Linked DNA regions of Medicago truncatula. The protein of the gene in region 1 interacts with the protein of each later gene in a pairwise test. Links are inferred from orthologs where the notes say so. Each region holds a gene or a part of one and is shown on either strand. Other genes may lie near its edges. The genes, in order: dual specificity protein phosphatase 1 and protein GID8 homolog.

Evidence for each region.
Region 2: the proteins of dual specificity protein phosphatase 1 (region 1) and protein GID8 homolog interact in binary tests that used the Arabidopsis thaliana proteins (3 or more experiments, as listed by UniProt). The link is inferred for Medicago truncatula from reciprocal best matches to the Arabidopsis thaliana genes DSPTP1 and AT1G61150.

Annotation. Positions count from the first base shown.
Region 1 is NC_053045.1:56,689,398-56,700,289, forward strand, and holds dual specificity protein phosphatase 1, read left to right. Parts: upstream 1-6,256; 5' UTR 6,257-6,383; intron 6,384-6,518; 5' UTR 6,519-6,521; coding exon 6,522-6,650; intron 6,651-6,736; coding exon 6,737-6,872; intron 6,873-8,015; coding exon 8,016-8,136; intron 8,137-9,073; coding exon 9,074-9,219; intron 9,220-10,364; coding exon 10,365-10,384; 3' UTR 10,385-10,763; downstream 10,764-10,892. UniProt on the Arabidopsis thaliana protein: Has a dual specificity toward Ser/Thr and Tyr-containing proteins. Dephosphorylates MPK4 in vitro.
Region 2 is NC_053043.1:3,307,288-3,318,925, reverse strand, and holds protein GID8 homolog, read left to right. Parts: upstream 1-6,026; 5' UTR 6,027-6,183; intron 6,184-6,286; 5' UTR 6,287-6,361; coding exon 6,362-6,412; intron 6,413-7,300; coding exon 7,301-7,460; intron 7,461-7,556; coding exon 7,557-7,663; intron 7,664-9,135; coding exon 9,136-9,267; intron 9,268-9,491; coding exon 9,492-9,648; intron 9,649-10,999; coding exon 11,000-11,118; 3' UTR 11,119-11,326; downstream 11,327-11,638. Other genes in the region: helicase-like transcription factor CHR28, read right to left, coding at 1,278-1,400.

The DNA.
Region 1 (10,892 bases):
ATATATTTTTTAATCAATTGATTGGTTTTTAATAGAATCTAGGCATCAAAATAATGCAATTAAAAGAGAGACACACACTCACTTTCTTAGTGTACGTACTCCCCATGTGAAACCCAATCCACTCATGTCCTTCTCTATCTCAATGGCACAATCGACTGTCTATTTTTTCCCAGTAAATTCGGTATTTTCATAGCTGATTTTCTTCTCTCCCCATCTCTCAATATATCCTCCATCTTCCATAAATATTTATTGTCAATATCTAATCTCCTTTTTCTCATTAATTAAAAAAAAAAAACTCTCTTTTCTCCCATTCTATGGTGGAAACACAGATTTGTCCATTTTTTCATCAATTAGATCCGTCCATTCTATAGAAATTGAAACCCAAACGTGATTTTGATTTGCCGTGGAAGCTAGGAATTTCAGCTTCTCCTGTACTGGCGTTTTGAAGGCAAACGTACGATTCCATAATTGCTTTTTCTGTCAGCCAAACAACACAAAAAGAAAGGAAACGACGTTTTGCTGTGTAAACAGAGTTTTGGAGGAGAAAAACGCCTCCCCAAACGTACACAATATGCTTTCCCATGCTAAATCTCACCTGCTTTTGCTTATTAAATCATGCATGCCCTATTTTAACTGCAAAATTGGGTAAAAGAAAGTAACAAAAAACTAGTTAGCATGCCCCATCTGGATACACCGATGAGTCACGTTCAAGGTTTCTTGTTTTTTTCTTTGTTTTTTTTTTTAGGGAAAAAAAATTACACAATTTCCATTTTTAAGATTTATTTTTCCAAACAAATTATTGTTTCCATTCTTAAAAGCCTAAACCGTGATCAAGTTAGTTGTAATTCAAAATTACACTATTTCTTCCTTAATTTAATTTTAATTAACACTTTTGTTTTTTTGATTTAATCATTTTGTTATAATCAGGTAACATTATCATCCTTTATATTTTTTCCGTTTAATCCTTTATGTTATAAAATAGGTCAAATGCATCTAAATGTCCTTTAAGTTTTTCGTTTTTTTCAAAGTGGTCCTTTAAGTTTCAAAAGTCTCAAACAAGTCATTTTAGTTTTTGAATCGTTTCAAACAAGTCATATTGTAGATAGCATGGTTGGTAATTGCTTTCTTGAACTCATCTTTGGTACAAAATCTGACTCCTAACACCCACTTAAAATTAGTCATCTTTTTAGGCATGGCAAATGGTGGATAATGTTCTTTGTCATCATCATCCTCTAAAAGGACTTGTTTGAAACGATTCAAAAACTAAAAGGACTTGTTTGAGACTTTTGAAACTTAAAGGACCACTTTGGAAAAAACGAAAAACTTAAAGAACCTTTAGATGCATTTGACCTATAAAATATTAAGAAGTTAGACCCACTTACTAAAATCCTTTATATATTTTTTTGGTTTAATCCTTTAGGTTCTCCTATTTCTGCGAGCTTTCAAGACCTAACTCACATAAATTTTTCTCATAAATATTAATAAGTAGAATTTGGTTAAATTGAACCTAAAATGTAAAAGTTTATGTTTTATGGCTAAGGTGGATCTATTACAGGCATTTTCTGACCTCAAATGCCACCAAATCCTAATTAAAGGGAAAAAAACATTTATTTAATTTATTATACTAGTATATGATTGTGATAGGCACAACTTGATGTCATAAATTTTATAAGAGTGAAATAATGATGGGCAAATTTTTTATGTGAGTTTAATAGGCTACCTATATTTGGAACATGATATTTACAAATTTCTGTCACTAAGGTTCTAACGTGGAATAACTTGGGCAGCCATGCAAAACCCACTTTCATATATGTTGAAGACTTCACATGATGAACCACATGGTGTTTGGACATGGACAGTGATTGATTATTAGAGAATATGAATGAATTTGCACAATGAAGTAAGTGGGGTTGGGGAGGGAGTATTTATTGAGTCTCACCTAGAAGAGTACAATTTCAGTTGCAGTTTGCATCTCACACATGCTTTCTTTTTTCTATATAGCTTTTGATTTTTGTATGGTAAGGGAAATTAATAATGGAGTGTAGGTGTTGAGAAGTTTTGACCAGAAGGGAAGGTTTTGATTCTTACATTATCGTTCAACTTTAACCTCTCCCTCTATTTATTTATTTGGTAGGAATTTTCATCTAACTAAGATTTTCCGCGTTCACGCATTTGGGATATTGTAAAGGATTGATTAACATTGGATTGTTTAAAAATATGTAGATTTTAATTTTTCTTTTATAGTTTAAAATGTGTGAATGTAAAAAATCTCAAATAGCAAGGAATCAAAATTCACTTGGGGTTGGACGAGATGCATACACACTTTAATGATCATCGTTATTCCAAACATTTAACTTCAGACATTACAATAGAAAGCAAGTGAAAATAAAGGCAGCATGCAATTGAATTTGAAGGACACAGTACATGAACATCTATTCAAGATGCCTCAGTTTCTTTTTCCTTTGTATATCCAGGCATTTTGTTTTTGGATGTTCTTGCTTTGTAAAAGATACTAGAATATTTTGGAGTCGGTGTGTTGAAATTGTAGGAAGTTTTTAGTATTTAACTTTGATTGATACGGTGGTAGTACCTTACCCTTCTTCTTGGTTTTACAACTTTTCTCTTTCGCAAAAGTATTCAGTTACCACTTCTCGCTTTCCTATTTAGCAATCCATGTAAAGTTAAGAAATACAAGTTGTTTAATCTAATTTGAATACAAAACATTGCAGTGCAAACTTCCAAATATTGCAGCAATTGAATACTCAGAGATACAAGTTAAGCTTGCTCATTCATGTTTTAATAATCTTGAGGAATAAAATATTTCAACACCTCAGCAGTTGCAAACTGAATTGATGAAAGCCTATACAGAAAACCCAATTTTGACATAAAGTGCAGACAAAAAAGACTTATCACCTATGATTTACTTCTACATTGGTTCAAAAGCTAATGTCTGTAAACATCTCCAAGCTTTGAAGATTCTGATTTTGTACTAACATAAACTGTACCTTGTATGACAATATTAGGGAACCATTTTTTTTTAGGTTAAATCTTTTTTTGATCCCTATAATTTATAAATATACTAAATTTTTATTTTAGTCACCTAAAATTTTTGTTCAAGATTTTAGTCCTTATAAAATTTCAATCATCACTTTTGGTCTTTATTTTTAAATCGGCTCATGTATTTTTTAATGAAATTGTGTAAAAAGGGTTAAATACGTTTTTAGTCCTTACATTTTGCGTCCCTTTGAAGAATAGTCCATACATTTCATTAAACCTTTTTAAAATCCTCACATTTTATCTCCGTTATCAAAATTAGTCATTGTTGTTAATTCTTTAACGGAATGCTGATGTGACAGTTAGTAGATCCCAATTAGTTTAAGATTAAATATGTTTTTGGTCCCTACATTTTGCGTGACTTTGAAGAATAGTCCTTACATTTTAATAAATGCTTTTAAAGTCATGCAAAATTTAAGGGCTAAAAACATATTTAACCCTTGTAAAAATCTCTCTTTTAACAAAACATGAGTTAAATATGAGTTTTTAACCGCAAAAAATATAAAAATTCATATTTAATTTATGTTTTGTTAAAAAATTCAAATTGTTTTTTGGAGAGATTCTATAATATTATAAATTTTTATGTAAAATTTTCTTCAAAAATATGAATTCTAGATATATGAGTTTACTTAAAATGAGAGACTAAAAGTGAAGATGCAAAATTTTGCGATGACTAAAAGTCGAAGAAATTTTTTAGAGGGATTAAAATGAGAAGTTGATATATTTATAGGGATTAAAAACATATTTAACCTTTTTTTTATTAGTGAAAAGAAGATAAAGAACACCCAACACCTAAAATCTTTACTTTTTTTTCTTTCTTTACATTTTTTTTTTAGGAAATTCTTTATACCACTTATATATCACAGTTCACACACTCATTATGATAAACCGACGCACTCATCAAAGTCATTTAGCGTGACAAGTTTTAAAATAAATGTGAAAAGCATAAAGAAGGAGCAAGAATGTTGAACACCATAGCTTTATATTTTTATATAGATATATATGATGATATGATTAAATTAAAGTTGTGATAATTTTCAAACACAAATCATTAGAGGAACCTTCACCCTCAAGATACACTACAAAGAGGTTTTCTTGTGACCAAACCAGATCTACAATTCAAATGATCCTCTCTTAAATATCATTCACAGACAAAAACAAAACAAAATAATCACATGTACAATATAGATGAGCAGGAGTAACATTCAACAGCAGAAAAACCACATAAAAATATAATTTTCTATTGATTAAAACACAAAGGTGTTGGGTTTAGGTATATTAATGCAGCTGATGAAGAAAAGAGTGAAAGAAGAGATAGCGAGAGGTGCAAAAATTTGTAGAGATCTACACTCATTAATTATTTTTTTAGCATCTGACGATATGGTAGTATTAAATTAGTCAATAGTTTATTAAATTACTCAATATAGCTGTTTTTTTTAAACATCAGTATAGTTGTTTATTCAAGTATCTTCACCCTTCTAGGATAGTGAAGAAGAAAAAAATTGGTGACGATTAAGGTTTGGAAAAGAGAGAAGCAAGGTCAAAGGTAATGGGGTGGCCAAGGGAGGTCGTCCCCCCCCCCCCCCCCCAATTTTTTTCTTAAAAATTTTATACTACTAATTTTATGCTATTTCACTAGTATTGTGAACGTGGTCCCCCGTCATTAGCTCTTTTGTTGGAGTCCTCGATTATTTGAACATTGAGCATTTGTCATTTATGAAAAAAAAGAACCCTTTAAGTATGTCAATTATAAAAGCGACAATAGAATAAAATAAGATATTTTTTCTTCTCACTTCCATTTTTTCTCCCTGCCATTTGAAAATACCAAAATACTCGTAGCGGTACATTGGAGAGGTGAACGATAGTTAAGTGTCACTCGACCCACAACAATTGCGAAAATAGAAAATTGGGGAATTGAGAAGAGTAACTTTCATAAACTAAATCAAATAAGTAAATATAATTTTTCTCTCTTCTCCTAATATTAACTTTAAATGTAGATTTATTAAAAAAAAAACATAAAATGTAGATTAAAATTCTTATATATGTAGTGCATTTGAGATTTTTTGTTTTGTTTAACTAAATATCTTTTAGTGCTCGTTTGGTTACCCGTTTTGTGGGTACAAACGTGAGTCTGAAGCACTCAAAAGCAGTTTTTCTATTTTTGTGGTGTTTGGGTAACTGCAAAAGTGATTCAACCCCCAAACTCACGTTTACCAGAAGCTAAAAGTTGGAGCTTTTCAAAAGCAATTTAGGAATTCAACTTTTGGTGGCTGATGTACTTTCCTAAATTACCCATGATATTCTTTTTCATTTTTCGACAAAGTTTTATAAAACACAGCAAAAGTGATGAATTTTTTGTTGCTCAAATTCTTTCTCGACCCTGTTTCTGCCTTCATGTTACCCAGCAAACTTCAACATTCTCTCTCTTTCTTTGAGAAAAGATGGAATTGGGTTTGTATTTATTTATTTTATTTTAATTTTCACAAAATGAAATTGGGTTTCATAGGCCTATTAGTTAATTTCTCCTCTTATGCAAGCCCATTACATTTTTTACAGATTCTTTTTTAAGAAAAAACCATTTGACAAAATTTGTTATTTTTTGTACAAAGAGAAAATTTGTTAATTAATATGTGTAAAAATATTTATATAGTATACCTAATTCAAATTAAAGTATCAAATTAACATGCATTTTATTTTAGAAGTTTTTCTAATCTACAAATAATTAAATTGATAATGCAACATAAATTTGAATAATTATATAAAATAGAAACAAAATATAATTTTAAATAGATATTTATACTCATTTTGGTAATTATGCATTCAAATAACAAGAATTCTAAGAATCAATTCACATTCAAGTCACTTTTTTTCAAAAATCAATTTTATCAAACTCAATTCTATCAAAATCAATTATTTCCACCGCTGAACCAAACGCACACTTAAACATGTCCCCCCTTAACCGTTGTTAAATTTCTAGCTCGACCTGTGGAGGAAGAGATGACCAATTATTTTTCACTCAATTACTTTTATATATGTACATATCTTTTTCTTATTCAAGTTAATTTTGTATTTCATAAAAGACAAATTATTCAAATGAAGCTCGTTTCGATTTATGTGTGGAACAATTTTGGCTAGATTAAAAAATGAAACGCAAGAATTAAAATTAAAAATAGAAATTTCAAAAGGATAAAAAATTCTATATAAAAAAAAGAGACTAAAATTGGCATTTTAATGGGCTAAATAAATGTTCTCTACTTCTCATATGCAAGCAAGGAGAAAAAAAAAAAAAAAGTGGAGTTTCTCTATGCAAAATCGTAAACGCTTTATTGGTGAGTTCTTCTCCTTTTCGTACTATCAGTTCAAGTGTTTATATTCGCCAGAATTTGATTATATTCATCACAATCGATTATTTATATATCTTTAACAGTTAACACTGATACGATTATTGAATTTGTATGAATTAGGAAATGGCTTCAACATCAGAAGCTATGAATGAATTCGACGAATCGATGAAGAAACAAATTGCATTAATTTTGAAGGTTGTGCTTTTGAATAAATCCTTGAAAGAGGATAATATTCCTTGTGAAATTGACCAGGTAGTTTACTTAATCAAGCTTCATTTTGTTATTATCTTCACTATTCTTCTGAATTTTGTAACTAATGATGAATGATATTTGGTTAGGGTTTGTTTTTGGGTTCAGTTGGTTCTGCTACGAACAAGGTTGGTTTAAAAAATGTGAATGTTACTCACATTTTGACTGTGGCTGGGAAACTTGCACCTGCACATCCTGCCGATTTCGTCTATAAAGTTATAGATGGTATGTTTCTTTTATTATTACTTATTGCACTCACACGGTCACCATACATGACACTGACACATTGACACTAGTAAAAATTTGAGAAAATGAATTAACTGAACGTAATCACATATCCAATGTGGTGTCGGTGACACGCCTTTAATCAGGGATGTCGGTGTTACATAGATGATCTGGAACTGATTTTGACAATGATGCGGTTTTATTCTTTTTGATTTTGGTCTTTCGGAGCTGTTGGTTTTGTGGCTATCAAAGTAATGCAAGTGAATTCACTATATAATGGACTAAACAAATGGATAGGGTGTGTTTGGAAATACATATCTTCATCAATAATGTTACAATATTAGTCAAAATATAAGGTTGAGGTTACCTATTTTTATTAGTAAGATGATTTGGATGTTAACTTTTGTTACCTTATTGAGGTTCTCAGTTTCCATGTTTATGGATTATTTGAGTTGTATTGCATTTAATGTAAGGTTTATTTAAAGAAATAATGTTAAAATAGGGCAAAAGGAAGGAAGTGGTGGTAGGGTGGGTTTTACAGAACACCGATTAGGACAGGGTCGGGTACCTAATTTTTATTTTGGTGACAATGGAGTGGGTTTTGGGAGGCGGGTTCAGGTGGAGAGCAAAACCTTGACTCCATGACCATTGCGTGCTTTGATCTATAAAAGTTTAGCATTTTCTTTGCAATTATGAAAAAGCGTGCTTTGATCTTTGAAAGTTTAGCATGTGTTGAGATTGTTCCATTACTCGACATTTTCAATAGGAGAGAAATTGATGTAATATTTTTTTTAGTTATTCATCTCTCTCTCTCTCTCTCCCTCCTACTAGATGTGTCGAGTACTAGAGAGAGGATCTCAATCTGTTTAGCATGCAGTTGCTGTCAAAAAATTTCCTTCTATCTTAGAAATTGTATTTTGTTATAATAGATGTTATCATCTCAGAATGTCAGTTCCTTTTTAACCGACTCGTGTAATATTGCGATCAATTAAATGAGACTGCACAACATTTCAGGTCCATGTTGCTTGTCATTAAGGTTGATTATGATTATATTGATTACACTCTAATTTTGTCTTAAGTTTTTTAGGCATCTAGTACACAATATCCATACTAAAGTTACACTTTTGTTGGAAAATTGAGAAGTTGCTGACAAAGAGGATACCAACTTAAAACAACACTTCGAAGAGTGTTTTGATTTTATTGATGAAGCTAAAAGTAATGGTGGAAGTGTTTTGGTTCATTGTTATGCTGGAAGATCGAGGAGGTAAGTTTCGCTGTTTATATCTTTCTCTCTTGCTTACATAGGATCATTTCTTGTTCATTGTACAGACTATTATTTTACTTTAGACAAGTGTCAATAAGTTGAAATCTGTTTTATGTCTCAATCATCTCAGGCATTTTTGTTTTGTTTTGGTTTAAATTTCTGGAATGTTGTTTCTCAAGCAAAAACTGGGAGCAGCACATTGCATATTTGAATTTCAATGTTTCTTAAAATCCTTACATTTTTATTTTGTTATCATTGTCTTTTATTATTCAATAGCAGATATTATGTTTTGCTTATAAAGTTGGGAAAATGTCATGGAAGCTTATAGCTTTTTAATTATGTCTTTAGTTCAATGATACTATCTCTTGAAATCCATTGTAATAATGTTCTGAGTATGGCCATATATATGTGATGCCATGTGGAATTTGAGGATATGATTGTTGAGCTAAATGTCAAATTGTTTCATATATGGAAAATGACAAACCTTGTTGATGCTTTGAAAATTACAGATATGATTTTTTTTTTGTTTTCCCTGTCATTATTGTTTTCTTTTCCAGAAATCTGCTTTCATGTCGATCTTTTCCGTTTGAACTTTGACATATTAAACATTTGAACTGACAATTGAAGTGTGCATGCTTCTCAATGAAATAGACTAAAAATGCTTTATAGTATGAATTGAGATGCCATCGATTTTTTTAATATGTAGAATGGAAAGTTAGGGATGTAAGCTTGAGATTCATGAATGATGATTATGTCCTTGTTTACTATTGGCCTGTCACTTATATTCTGCACAAAGTTCATGCAGCATTTTACTACCTCCTTTTTTAATGGTCATATTGGAACTAAGAATCTTGGTATTCATATTGTTCATTTGGCTATTTTCTTTTTCATTAGATTAACTGGAAAAACTTGGTTCTAATTTATTTCCACCTTCTAGTGTGACTATCATTGTGGCATATCTGATGAAGTCTCGGGGAATGAGCTTATCTGAAGCTCTGCAACATGTAAAATGCAAAAGACCACAAGCAACTCCAAATCGTGGTTTCATTCGTCAGCTGGAAGACTTTGAGAAATCTCTTCAAGGTTAAAACTGTATTAATCTTAAATATAATTAAACATCAACATGCCAATATATATATATATATATATATGGGGTTTGCTAGAACACACCCACTAATTTTTATGTGGGAGTGTTTTAGCAAAGCTACACCTTAAGGTGTATTTAACCACTTTTTAGTTATTCACTTGCTAAAATACTCCTTCTAAAAAATAAGTGGGTGTATTCTAGCAAATGCCTATAGGATTTGCTAGAACACACCCACTTGTTTTTTTAGAAGGTGTGTTACAGCAACATACACCTTAAGGTGTATTTATTAACTTTTTAGTTATAACTTACTAAAACACTCCCACATAAAAACTAGTGGGTGTGTTCTAGCAAATCCCTATATATATATATATATATAAGATACATTTAGATCTTATATAGATATTAAATGGATACACCTCTATAGCCATGAAGATACATTTACGATTTACATTTAGCACATGTAAGAGCTTGTGTAAAATATAAGGAGTCACTTCACTTTACATAAAAGCTTTTATAATGCTTATTGCTTAAACTGAAAGAAAATTGACTTGTATATAATATAGTAATCTAGCAGAGTGTGCATGGTAAAGGAAGTATAAAGGGTTTTATAATTATCCACTAAACATCATTGTTACCATTGTCATACAATTTTTGCATAAAGAATGATACAATCACATAAGAGTTTGACTAACGATCATGTCTTATAAGCATATAAGCTATATTCGTGTGTGTATGTGTGTGTCTCTATTTCATTATGATCTTTATCAGATATTTAAGCATATGTGCTCATTTTTCTGTGAAACTTTGATTTGAACATATCTCTTTCCTTTATTTTATATTTTTTGTAATATCTAAATTTTAATGCATGACATTATGTATATGAAATATTAATGCAATTCTGTCAAATTGGATCTTCCTGGGTTTTTCAAATGGTAGATCTATGTTTTAATTTATATATACCTTCGCTGACTTTAAAAATACCGCTGTTCTCTTTATATGGTTTTCCCCCTTCATTTTCTTCACTAATGGACTCCACATTTCTTTTGTTCTTCATATAGTTTTATGAACACTGATTCAAATTCAAACTAAAAGTAGTTTGTGTGAACATATCATTGATTGTATCTAGTTTGTTTTTGTGAAGATATCGAAGTGTCTGGATAGAGAACATGATGGTGATCAGACAAGGTAGTGTAGATGATTAGCGTGACTCTGGCAATCATGTGAAGACAAGGCAGCATCAGTTATGGATTGGCACTGAAACTTCATCCTCAGGTGCGGAAGTCCCAGTTTATAACAACTATGAATTGCTACTATGCATACCAGCCTATTTCATGAAATGTTGAATTCGATCTGTCTTCTCTCATTCCATGTTTCTGTAGTGTTTAGGAAAAATGGCCTGTTAGGAAAAATTAACTTTGTTAGAGGGGATATACTTCTCCAGAAACATTTACGAAAACCAAAATATTAAAATAATTGCAACGAGTACTCAATTTTTAAATAGCAGCTTTTGTTTGAGAGTATTCTTGAGCTTTTTGGAACATTTTTCTGTTTTATTTTCAAGGGATGCACCTAATAGTACTTGAGTTTTTGAAGTGGATATTGTTCAGTATATCCAAGCTGAACCCAATTAGGCAAGTCCAATATCGGATTGCCCACACTCGTTGTTGAC
Region 2 (11,638 bases), on another chromosome or scaffold:
CTTCCTGGTCTCCATACAAGAAATTGAGCTCTTTTCTCTATGAGAATCTACACTAACTACTTACCCAGCACATCCGAAATTTAACCAAAATTAATGAGTGACACGACACTACATAAAATTGTAAAATAAATATCAATTATCCTTCTACGTTACAATAAGGAACTAGACCAAAGGTACAGGAAAAATGTAACAATTTCTTCATGTATATAGTGTAAAGATGAAGACATTCAAACCAGCAGAAGCAATTCAAGGAATCTTTCATCTTTTAAATATCAAACCAGCAGAAGCAATTCAAGGAATCTTTCATCTTTTAAATATCAAAGCTGGCTTTCACGGTAGGGATTCTAAAACTCCGGACGTTCCTCCAATTTTAGCAAAACTGGTTTGACTATAGTAACAACGATTCGAATCTCGGACAAAGCATGACTTGAATTTCCTTGTAAAAAAATTGCACTGGATTTTTTCTACTAAACTAAGGGCTTGTTTGGATTGGCTTATTTGAGCTTATCTACTGACGTAAGTTTTGTGAGACTGTTGGGGAGAATTTAAAAAAAAAAAACAGCTAATGACATTTCTCATAAGCTTTTTCAGCTCGTTTTCATAAGTTCTTCAAGATAGCTTAAAAATAGCTTATAGATCTTCAATATAGCTTGAAAATAGCTTATAGCATACACAAAACCAATTCAACTTTATTTTATCCCTTGCTGTAAAAACAGCTTATGTATGCTTATACATAAGCACTTTTCATGATAATCACTTGTGCTATAAGCTGAAAATAATTTGTTTATACATAAGCGCTAAGCGTTTGTGCTATAAGCTGTTTATCCAAACAGGGCTTAAACCACTTCAGAGCTACTTATTCAGTATCTACATACGTAAATTAATGTGCCTAAAATCTCCAAAGTTGTAACACTCATAATGAAAACCTTAGACAAAATATAAAATAGATATTTACGTGAATCGGCCAATAATTTCCCTTTTCCCTTCATTCATCATCGGTGTTTATGACATCTACAGCGGCGAATAGCCGAATTTTTAAAATCTACTATTTCCCGCTACCAGCAATTGACAACATTGTTTATCATAGTAAAAATCCAATCTTTGAAAAATAATTACAAATCAAAACGCAAAAGGAAACCAATTTAACAGTAAAATTTCAAAAAACAAACTGCAAATCAAATAATCCTACTGAATCAAAGAAAAAATATACATGCAAGTACAATCAAACCGTGAATAGTTGAATTCCACAACCCAATCGTAATTCACAGTGACCCTACCTCTGAAGGAACACAATCTTCATCAAGAACGCTGAGAAACGATTCAATATCCATTGCAAGCTTTTCATCATCGGAATCATCATCAGCAAACAGTGTCGAAAATTGAAATCCATCATCCGCCATGTTGAATTGAAATCAAAACCCTAATTCGCTTTTTCCAAAACTACGAAACTGATTCACGAAATCTAAAAGTAACAACGCGTTGTATCGCATTCTCCGAAGAGACCAAAGCGAGAAAGAAAATGGATTATGGCAATTTCGTGAAGAATCAATGGAGGTTTCTGAGAAGGTTCGTGATGTGAATTTGCGACTTTTTGTTTAGAGAGAGAAAGTTATTAGAGAGAGAAAGGAAAAAAGAAGACAAAGTTGAATCGTGGATTGTGTCAAGTTAGGTTTAAATAGGGTTTGGGATACGTAAGAGGGTGCGCATGTTAAGAGATGTGCGCATGTTATAGTGAGCGCGCGGTTATGAATAAATCAATCAATACGACGTCGTTTTAGTGGCTGCTATTACTATAACTGTGTGTGTTACTAGGAGTTGGATTCCTCATGAGTCATTTTCGAATTTTCCATTTCTCATTCATTTTCTAGTCTATCTTTTTCTTCTTCTTTTTTTTTTTAACATTTTATTTGACGGTTTTTTTTTTATATTGATGTGCTCTTTTATTGTACATTGAATTTTGAATTATTTTTTATTTGGTGATTAATAAATTACGTTTAAATTAAGGAAATTGTTATTAGATTTTCACTTAATTTCTATTTTGTTGGTATCATTTAATTGAAATTTATTTTTTTAAGAAGCCAAAAGCACAATAATTATTATATAAAAACATTTTTATTTGAAAAAAATATAAAAATATAAAAACATATAAAGCACAATAAGTGTCTAATACGTATGGAAACAATGTATCAGTATACATAATAAATCGTCCAAAATGACGGATCGGACCACCAAGAATGCAAATCGTAAAAATAACAAGATTTGTAAGTTTTTAACCACCGCCAATAATGGAGATTGATGTGGTCAAAAAGTTGATCTTGAGAGGTTTGCTTATTGCGAAAAGAAAAAAAAAAAATCTAGAGTTGCACTCTTTTCAAATGACTCATATGCAAATCAACCAAATCACGTGAAAGTTAAATTGAATATCATTTTTGAAAACATGTATGTCACCAAACTGTAGATCATGAGAACTGATATCGGTTGGATGAATGGTAAACACACTCAACCAACTTTAATGATAAATGTCGACAGAAGCTTACATCCTTAAAAAATAGAAAATTGCTAATTGCTGAGAAAAAATAGGAAAAATGTTAATTAGTTGCGGTGATGTTTTGTTTTTTCAAGAAGATTTTGCAAATGATCTTGCACATTTTAAATGTCGAGAAACATAGAATTTTCGGTTTAAACACAGTTTTATACTCCTTTCGTTCCTTTTTAAGCGTCTCTTTATAGTGAATTTTTCGTTTCTATTTAACTGTCTTTTTGATATTTTCAGGGTAAGATTTGTCAATTATAGAATTTGTCAATTACTTTTATTTTTTCAATAAAACTAATTATTGCTATCTATTTGAAAAACTAAAGTTTGTTTCTCATTATCTTCAAATTTAAACAAATTTTGTTCCAAACAATGGTTCCAATAAGAGTTTAAATTCTAAAAATAAGATAAGTAACAATTATTAAAAATTTCAAGTGTGACTCTAGCATTGGTTGAAGCCATAGTTGAAGCCTTAACTTTGATTAAAGGAGTTGGAAGAAAGTTAATTTTTTCTTAACTTTTGATTAATGTGAAGTTGGAATAATTTTTATATTGACTTAAAATAATCAAAAAGATGTGCACAATATTTAGAAAATTGACAATTGTTTGTTAAGAGAGAAAGATAACATATTAAATTGATTGAAAATATAAAATGTGTGCAAAAAGTAGGAATTTATTGATGAATTAAAATGAGGGTATAATAGGAAGAAAATGTGCAAAAATACACATCGTTGTTTTGATGTTAATTTTCTAAAAAGAACATAAAAAAAATGGAGGGAGTATATATCAATGTCTTAAAAAAAATTCAAGTATTATTTGTTGTTAAAAAAAAAAAAGTAACCAACTTTCGGTTACGTAACCGCTTCTTTTAAGGGAGTTACAAAATTCGTATACATGTTAAAAAAAAATAAATAACAAAAATAAAGAATATTCATTCATTCAAATTGATAGAATACATCAGAGACAATAACATGATCAATATCGCTAAAAACGTATAGGGTGAATCTGCGAATAAACTCACAGCACCCAAGTTAATAGCATACAACGGCAAAATGACTACAAATAATATGATGAAATATAAATCACCAGAATACCCATGCTTCTGGATCTGCAACGTTAACGCCCAAATCATTGATTGAATTTGTGATTGTCTGAAGTTGATATTTCAATACAAACCAAACGAACACCGCACAACAAAGGATGCTAAATCAAACAACGCCGCACAAGACGACAAATAACACAACGTCGCACTAAGACGACGAAATCACGAAAAAACACGAAAGAAAAACTTGATGTATGTGAAAATCACTTATTTAGATTGAAATAAAGGGGAAAAAAGATGCAAAGGGGTGATTCTAGGTCAAAAATTGACCTAAAATCACCCCTCCTCGACGAGTGGAAGAGGAAAAAAACTTAGAGGGAAGACAAAGTTTTTCTCAGTAAAAAATTAGGGTCGGTTATACATGTTAAAATTTATATTAGCAGATATTTGTACAAGGTGATAATTTGATGGTAAAGAAAATGGCAAGTTTGTTTTGAGGAATAAGAGTTTTTAAAATAAGAAATATTCTTACTAACTCCAATATTATAGATGATTGAAATTACTATTAAAATTTAACAAGGACTAAATGTAAATGTTCGTGATTTTACAGGGGTTGAAAACATATTTGACTATATTTTTAATTTATAACAAACGAGCACTAACCCATAATTTAAGGTCGCCTAAGTTTGAGTTATGCTAAGGGCATTGTTGCACTTGCCTAAAACCGACCATGGTCTAACCCGTTGGTAAAATTACAATATAATTCTTAATTCTCTTTTCATTTCTAACCTGTTGTCTTCAACCTTCTCTTTAGTTCTTCCTTCAACCTGTTGTCACATACATATAAAATTATGGTGATAATATAAGGGTCTGGTGTTGAACCTTGGTGCAATCCTATTATTATGAAAAAATCTTTGGTGTCTCTACCTTGTATCCTCACACTAGTCGAGACCACCTCATACATGTCATTGATAGCTCTGACACAAGTCTCCCTAATACCTTTATTCCATAGGGTTTTCACAAAACCTTTTTAGGCACTATATCATATTTAACTCTTAAAAGATTATTTTTTTGTATTTCTAGAAATTATTTTTAAGAAAACTTACTAAAAAATAATATAAGTTGTTTCAAACTCATTTAATAGAAATTAAAAGCGGTGTAATGTTGACATTCACAGACTTAAATATTCGTTATTAGAATTTTTCTTTTTAACAAGGATAACCTTAGTTCATTTCATTCATAATCAAGGAATAGAAAGTAGTTGGCACATGATGAAAATTATGGGCGCTAGGTTGTGATAAAGAAGTTCTAGCTATGTTATGGGTCACTTCATTTGTTTGCCTCGTAATATACAACACTCTAAAGTCGGACTTTGTAATCAAGATGTTCCTACATTGAGAAATTATGTCTCAAATTCATTGAGGTGAGCTGAATTGTTATAAGTCACAAATTTTTCTTAAAAAAAATATATCTCTCGAAAATAATTTTTATGACCACTTGTTCAAAATAACTTCTTATTTTAAGCTTCTGAAAAAAATCTCATTTAAAGCTTTCCTTAAAAAACAATTTGTTGAAAAAATTATAGGCGAAAAAATAAAACAATATAAATATTATTTTTAAAAACTATAACAAATGGGTCCTTAATATGTAATCTTGAAGTTGTATTTTGATGTCACACACATATTGTTTTCGTTCCATAATAAGTGATCTATTTATAAAAAATAAATTGTTTCAAAATAAGGAACCTTTTTAAATTTTCAAGACAATATTAATTATTTTTTTAAGTTATACCCTTTAATTGATATCACTTGCATCTCTCTTAATTTAGTATTTTCTACTTTTCATTTGTTATGGTGACGAAACACAAATATTTTGATAATAGTATCTAGTAAAAATATTTTTTATCTCTATTTTATTTATATATACTTTTCTTAATATATGTAAAATGACCTGACAAAGTAAAATGTCGTAAAAGTTCACTCATCGTTGTTATGTCAAGATTTTTATTTTCCAAGGCATCATGTAATAACTGCTTGCACCACATTGTTCTTAGAGCAAACATGTTTAATGCACATTTTTTAAAAGAAAACAATTCAAATACGTCATATACATTCACATACATTGTCAATGAAATTAATTAACACATAAAATTACCAGGTCAACCTTATTATAGATTTTGTAAAGGTTATCTACATCATCTTCTCACACTGCATGAGAGACACCACAAACATAAAGATCTAAGGTAAATTTTGTTTAGAAGGTCACTTATTTTAATTTCTTTTTTGTATTTTTAATTTTTTTTTAATGTTACTCTTGATACATCAAAACAATTATATATTATACGTTGTTCATCTGTTTTAGATATTCGCACTTTTTTTTTGGAGCTAAATTTATCGAAGGGGAGATATTATGTGTGATACTGGGGGTGTGGATAGCAATAGGCTCTACTGTTAAAACCTATAAAAACAAACCCGACCCATACAAAAACAGCGGAATCCGAACTCAATCATCGCAAAAGATCGAACAAACAAGTTCTCGGAATTCAGAGAACCGTACATACTACGACTTAAGAAGTTGAAATCGAAGTTCTAGAATTCTCCAATTTGAGGTGAATTCTCTCTTCTTCTTTCTGAACTTTTCCCTTTCGTTAATTATTAGGGTTTCAATTTTCAAATTATTGATCCGAAGAATGTGAGATTTTGTTTTTGCAGTTTTGATTGAATTATTCAAATCTTGAGGATTGGTGCGTCGTTCAGGGTTACAATGAGGTCTGTGCGTGTTCACTGATGTCATTGTTTTGGATTGTTATTCGTCAGCTAGCACAAATTGAGGCAATGGTATGTGTGGATTGATATTCACTTTATCTCATTACTGTTTATCTTAATTTCCCCCGAATTTTATATGTGGATTTCGATTTTTTTTTTTGTTAATTGTTGTAAGGTATAAATCTTTAATGTGGGTTTTTGCGAAGATCTTTAATTTGTGCTTGTTAAAGAATTCTGGTGGTGGAAGTTGCGTTGGATGTGTGGACCAGATAGGATTAGCAGCGACAATATTAGAGAGTGTCGGGGCAACTAACACCTATCACAGAAAAGATGGTGGAAACTTGACTATAGGTGGTTTGGGCATTTAGAGAGAAGACTTGTAAATTATGTAGTAAAGAGAGTAGATCATAGAGGAAGACATAAAAACTATACGAGAAACTATAAAGAAATATCTAGAGATTAACGAGTTGGATATAGAAATGATATACGGTAGAACATTATGGCGTCGTTTGATCCATATAGTGGATCCCACTTTGTGGGATAAGGCTTGGTTATTGATGTTGTTAAGAGTCCTGATGTTTTCTTTTTACATTCCGTTTTGTTGTGATTTTAAAGAGGTTTAGAAAAGGAGTTCAGATTTGTTTTATTTTGAGTTTTGATTTTTAGAAATGTTGTGGAAAGTGAAGATATGAATTTGTAGTTTACATGGAAGGTTATTGAATTGTTTTCTTGCATGTAAACGTTTAGCAAAACAAAATGATGCATCAATTTCTGTCATTTTGCATAAGACGGAAGTGTGTTTTATAAAGAGTCAAATAGTCTTTTTCTTAGAAGTGTTTCTATATTTGAACTGGTTGTAGACAATGTTGTGCATCATGGGTGATGGAAATGTAGTGATTCCCATGTGTTTCATGGTAATGGTAAACTAATGATTTTCATCTTTGAAATACATGTGTAAAGGCGGCATCAAAGAAAGTGATAACAAGGGAAGAGTGGGAAAAAAAGCTTAACAATGTCAAGATTAGGAAAGAAGACATGAATAAATTGGTAATGAATTTCCTTGTTACCGAGGGCTTTGTTGACGCTGCAGAGAAATTTCGCAAGGAGTCTGGAACTGAGCGTATCCTTTTTTCTTATTATTATTATTATTCTTCTTTTGGGGGAGGGGGGAATCTTTTTTGTAAATCAATCTATGCTTGCCCTTAATGATCTTCAGCTGACATTGATCTTGCTACAATAACTGATCGGATGGCCGTTAAGAAGGCAGTACAAAGTGGTAATGTTGAAGATGCAATCGAGAAAGTCAATGACTTAAATCCCGAGGTGAGCTTGCAATTCCTTTTTATACGAGAAGGAATTTCATTCTTCCAGATGCTTCAAGGAATTCATTCTCATATCACTTTTTCCCCCAATTTCATTATAACTGCGAAGTGCCACTTTCTATCTATATTATTCTTTCTTACTTTTAATGAGCAATGCACATAATGCATGACTATGGTCAAATTGATGCAGAATTTAAATAGGACATGACACCGCCTCTTTTATTTAGTTACTGTAAAAATATGTAAACTATGTGTGTCTATAATGAGATTACACACCTTGTATATTTATATGGTTTTACAATAATTGCATTTTAGTTCCTCAAAATATGTAAATTCTGTGTCTATAATGAGGTCACACACCTTGTATTTATATGGTTTTACAATAATTGCATTGAATGCTTGATGAGTACTGTAAGCACCAACTCCCTTGCTCTAGGAGTAATAACAATCAATCTAGGAAGTTGTACAATTAAAGGAATATCTGAAGATTCCTAATTTTTACAGTTACCTTGCTCTCTCCTGCCCTGCTACCCTTGCTTGATTTACTCACATGCTTATGAGGGCACCATAAAAATGTCAACAACATAGGTCTCAAAGTTCGGGTTAGACCTATAACTCAATCCCAAAAGCTGACTCGAGTGTTGTAGCTTAAGATAAGAGAACTAATTTGGCCATATTTATAGTTGATGCAGGATCTCAACATACCCTTTCAAGTTTGTCGTACTATACTATCTTTAATTGCTTAACATCGTGTGCTTATTAGGATGATATCATAAGAATATCAGCAATAGAGGTCTTAGAATTTGGACTAGACCTAGCTCAATTCCAACAGCTATCTCACAAGAGCTGCTTTTGTAATATAGCTAGTGGATATGGGAACTAAACCCACCCCTTCAAACCCAATATTAGACTTTTGGAGTATGGACAAATGTGGATGGCTCATTAACAACTAGGGTAGGCTTTGATGCTGTCTTAGACTTTGTTAGACTCAACCTAGCATCTTAAGCTAACTCAAAAGGCGAGGATTGCTTGTGCTTCATATGAAGTACTCTGGCCATAACTCCAGTTGATGTGGGATCTTGATAAAAGAGGATATAACTTGCATAAAAGTACTGATATTAAATTTGGATTATCTTCTTTAGTCCTATTTATTTTCTTTTCACTGGGCTTCAAAGTTGTTGTTTTCCACCCCTTATATTTTTTTCACTTTTTCTCAATTTTTTTATAGGTCCATTTGGTGTCATAAAAGATTTGTTTTTTTTAATGAAAAATTGTGTGGAGATCTCATTTTCCATTAGTTTTTTTGGTGACAACTCCCTCTTTTTGTCCTTGTCACCCTCCCCCCCCCCCCCCCCCCATTCCTAATGTATGTAGAAGTCACAAAACATTTTGTACTCATCAGAGCATTCATTGATCTTTGTCTTATCCACATGTTCTATAAAATTAACATTCATTGTGTAATACTGTCTACAGATACTAGACACAAACCCCCAATTATTTTTCCATCTTCAACAGCAGCGGTTGATCGAACTAATCCGGAATGGAAAAATAGAAGAAGCTTTAGAGTTTGCACAGGAGGAGCTTGCCCCAAGGGGAGAGGAAAATGTAAACCATTCTAATGAATTTTTTCGCGTGTATATTGTCATATTATATCTTCATTGCGGAAGTATTTCTGGCATTTTTATTGACGGGTTATTAACAGTGAAATAGGAAAAAGCAATGATTGCCTATAGTCAGGAAAAAGCAAAATAGGAACTAAAATATCTATGCTTTTTCAATTTTTTTTGGAAGAACTTGATGCTAACACTAGCTTGAAATTTGGGTTCCAGCAAAGCTTTTTGGAAGAATTGGAGAGGACTGTTGCACTGCTTGCCTTTGAAGATGTCTCTAACTGTCCAGTTGGAGAGCTTCTTGACATATCACAGCGTCTAAAAACAGCAAGTGAGGTGAATGCAGCTATACTTACAAGCCAGAGTCACGAAAAAGGTTTGTGTTTGCTTCAAAAAGCTGTTTTTTTTTGTGTGCATAAATACAAGCTTTGCTAGATTCACCCCAGTTAAACAGCCACTATTCCTTTATTGTAGCGCTTGTAAGCGGTTAACTTTCTGAAATATTTGCCTGCTTTGATAAATCTAGATTCTAAGGAATGCCGAGAAGGCTTACTATTATTCATATGCCAGGATCAATCATTTTGTAGCTAGTTGTATTCTTAACATTTTTGGTATACCATGGTGGCAATATGTTTTAAACATGCGACAACCTGATGCAAACTACCAAAACCCTTCACAATTTGTCTAACTCTAGTACTAGTAGTTCAGTTGATTTCCTTTGCATGCCGTTGGGAATTCATGTTATGTTTATATATGTCCCTCATTTTTTTTTTTGAATGGCAATATATGTTCTACATCTATTCATCTGGAAAGATTTTGCTTTGTGGTTTTCAACTTCTGCAACCAAATTATGATTGGAATCTGATAGAAACTGATACCAAAATACAAATTAATAGTAATACTACAATAGGATCTCAAGAAATTTGTGAGTATTGGTCACTCATTCCAAGAATTCAAGAGCCTTGGTCTCTCCCTACCAATCCTTTATCCAAATTACCAAATGCTAATCTTTCCCTCTGCATCATTATTTATAATGCTAACTCCTTCAGTTACATAGAAGTTATGCAGATAACAGTTATTAATATCTAATATTACTAATAATTATACAATATATTAAATAAAAATTTACTTATATAAGTTCTGCCCGTAGGAGGCTTATTACTAACAGAATCCATTTGACTTGAAAATCCATTGGATTTTTCTTTCTTTTTTTGATATGACAAACCATTTTGTTCATGCTCAACACGCGGATAATGAAGTGTATAATATACGAGGATGATAACAAGCTAAGATCCAGAACTGAGTTTGAAGTATCACTGGGTTGCTGCTGTTAGACTTCAATTTGTTTTATTTCTTTCAATCTTAATCGTGTATTTTGCGGACTTATCTCTCTATGCACTTGATTGTATTTATGTTATTCTGTCATGTGTTGTGTTCTGCGGCTATGGATTATTGTTTCTAAACTGTTACAAATCTTCAACTTACTCTTTTTTTTTTTTTTTTGTCAAGTAGCCACTAGGCTAGAGCTCACACAATTTAATTGTGGAGAAGTGGAGTGTTCGGGGTTCGAACCCCGACCCCTGTATATAAAATGCAATATCCCTACCAAATGAGCTAAGCTCACGGGATAATCTTCAACTTACTCTGCTATATGTTTTTACTGAAGAATTTGGTAATTCAACGCCCTAGATTTTCCTTAATATTGTTTTTTTCTTTCTTTTAATCAGATCCAAAACTTCCTAGCTTGCTGAAGATGTTGATATGGGCCCAAAACCAGCTGGATGAGAAAGCTGCTTTTCCTCGCATAAATGATCTATCCACAGCTGCATTAGAAGATGCTGTTTAAATACTTGTGACATTCCAATTCCAATTTGAAGATTTTAGGTTCTAGATGAAATGATTGTGGTCATTGTCGTTAAAAATTGTGTATTTACTTTAATGGAAAAATGTTTGATAACATTGATGTTAGTATTTTATCCTAGATAGCTGTTCCAGTGGTTTTATACTGGTGTACAAAAAGATTGTTAATACATTCACCGATTCTTTTTCTTTTACCTTCATGTTACCGATTTTTACAGTATTCTGTTGCATATGAAGATAAATAAGGTTTATCACGATGATAGCAGAAGTTATCCTAGATAAATAACATTTATTTTCAACTACCAGGAGGGACCGTTATGAGTTATGACTCAGAATCTTCACCTCTCTCTGCTCTGCCTCATTAATGAAAAAAAAACAATTCTCTGGCCAAGGGGAACAACATCGGTCCCTGTTTTCACTTTTCTCCAGAGAGCATTTAAACGTTGCTTCTGAACCGTGTGTGACTAAAATTTACTCCTATCCAGCAAAATTATACCATACCATAT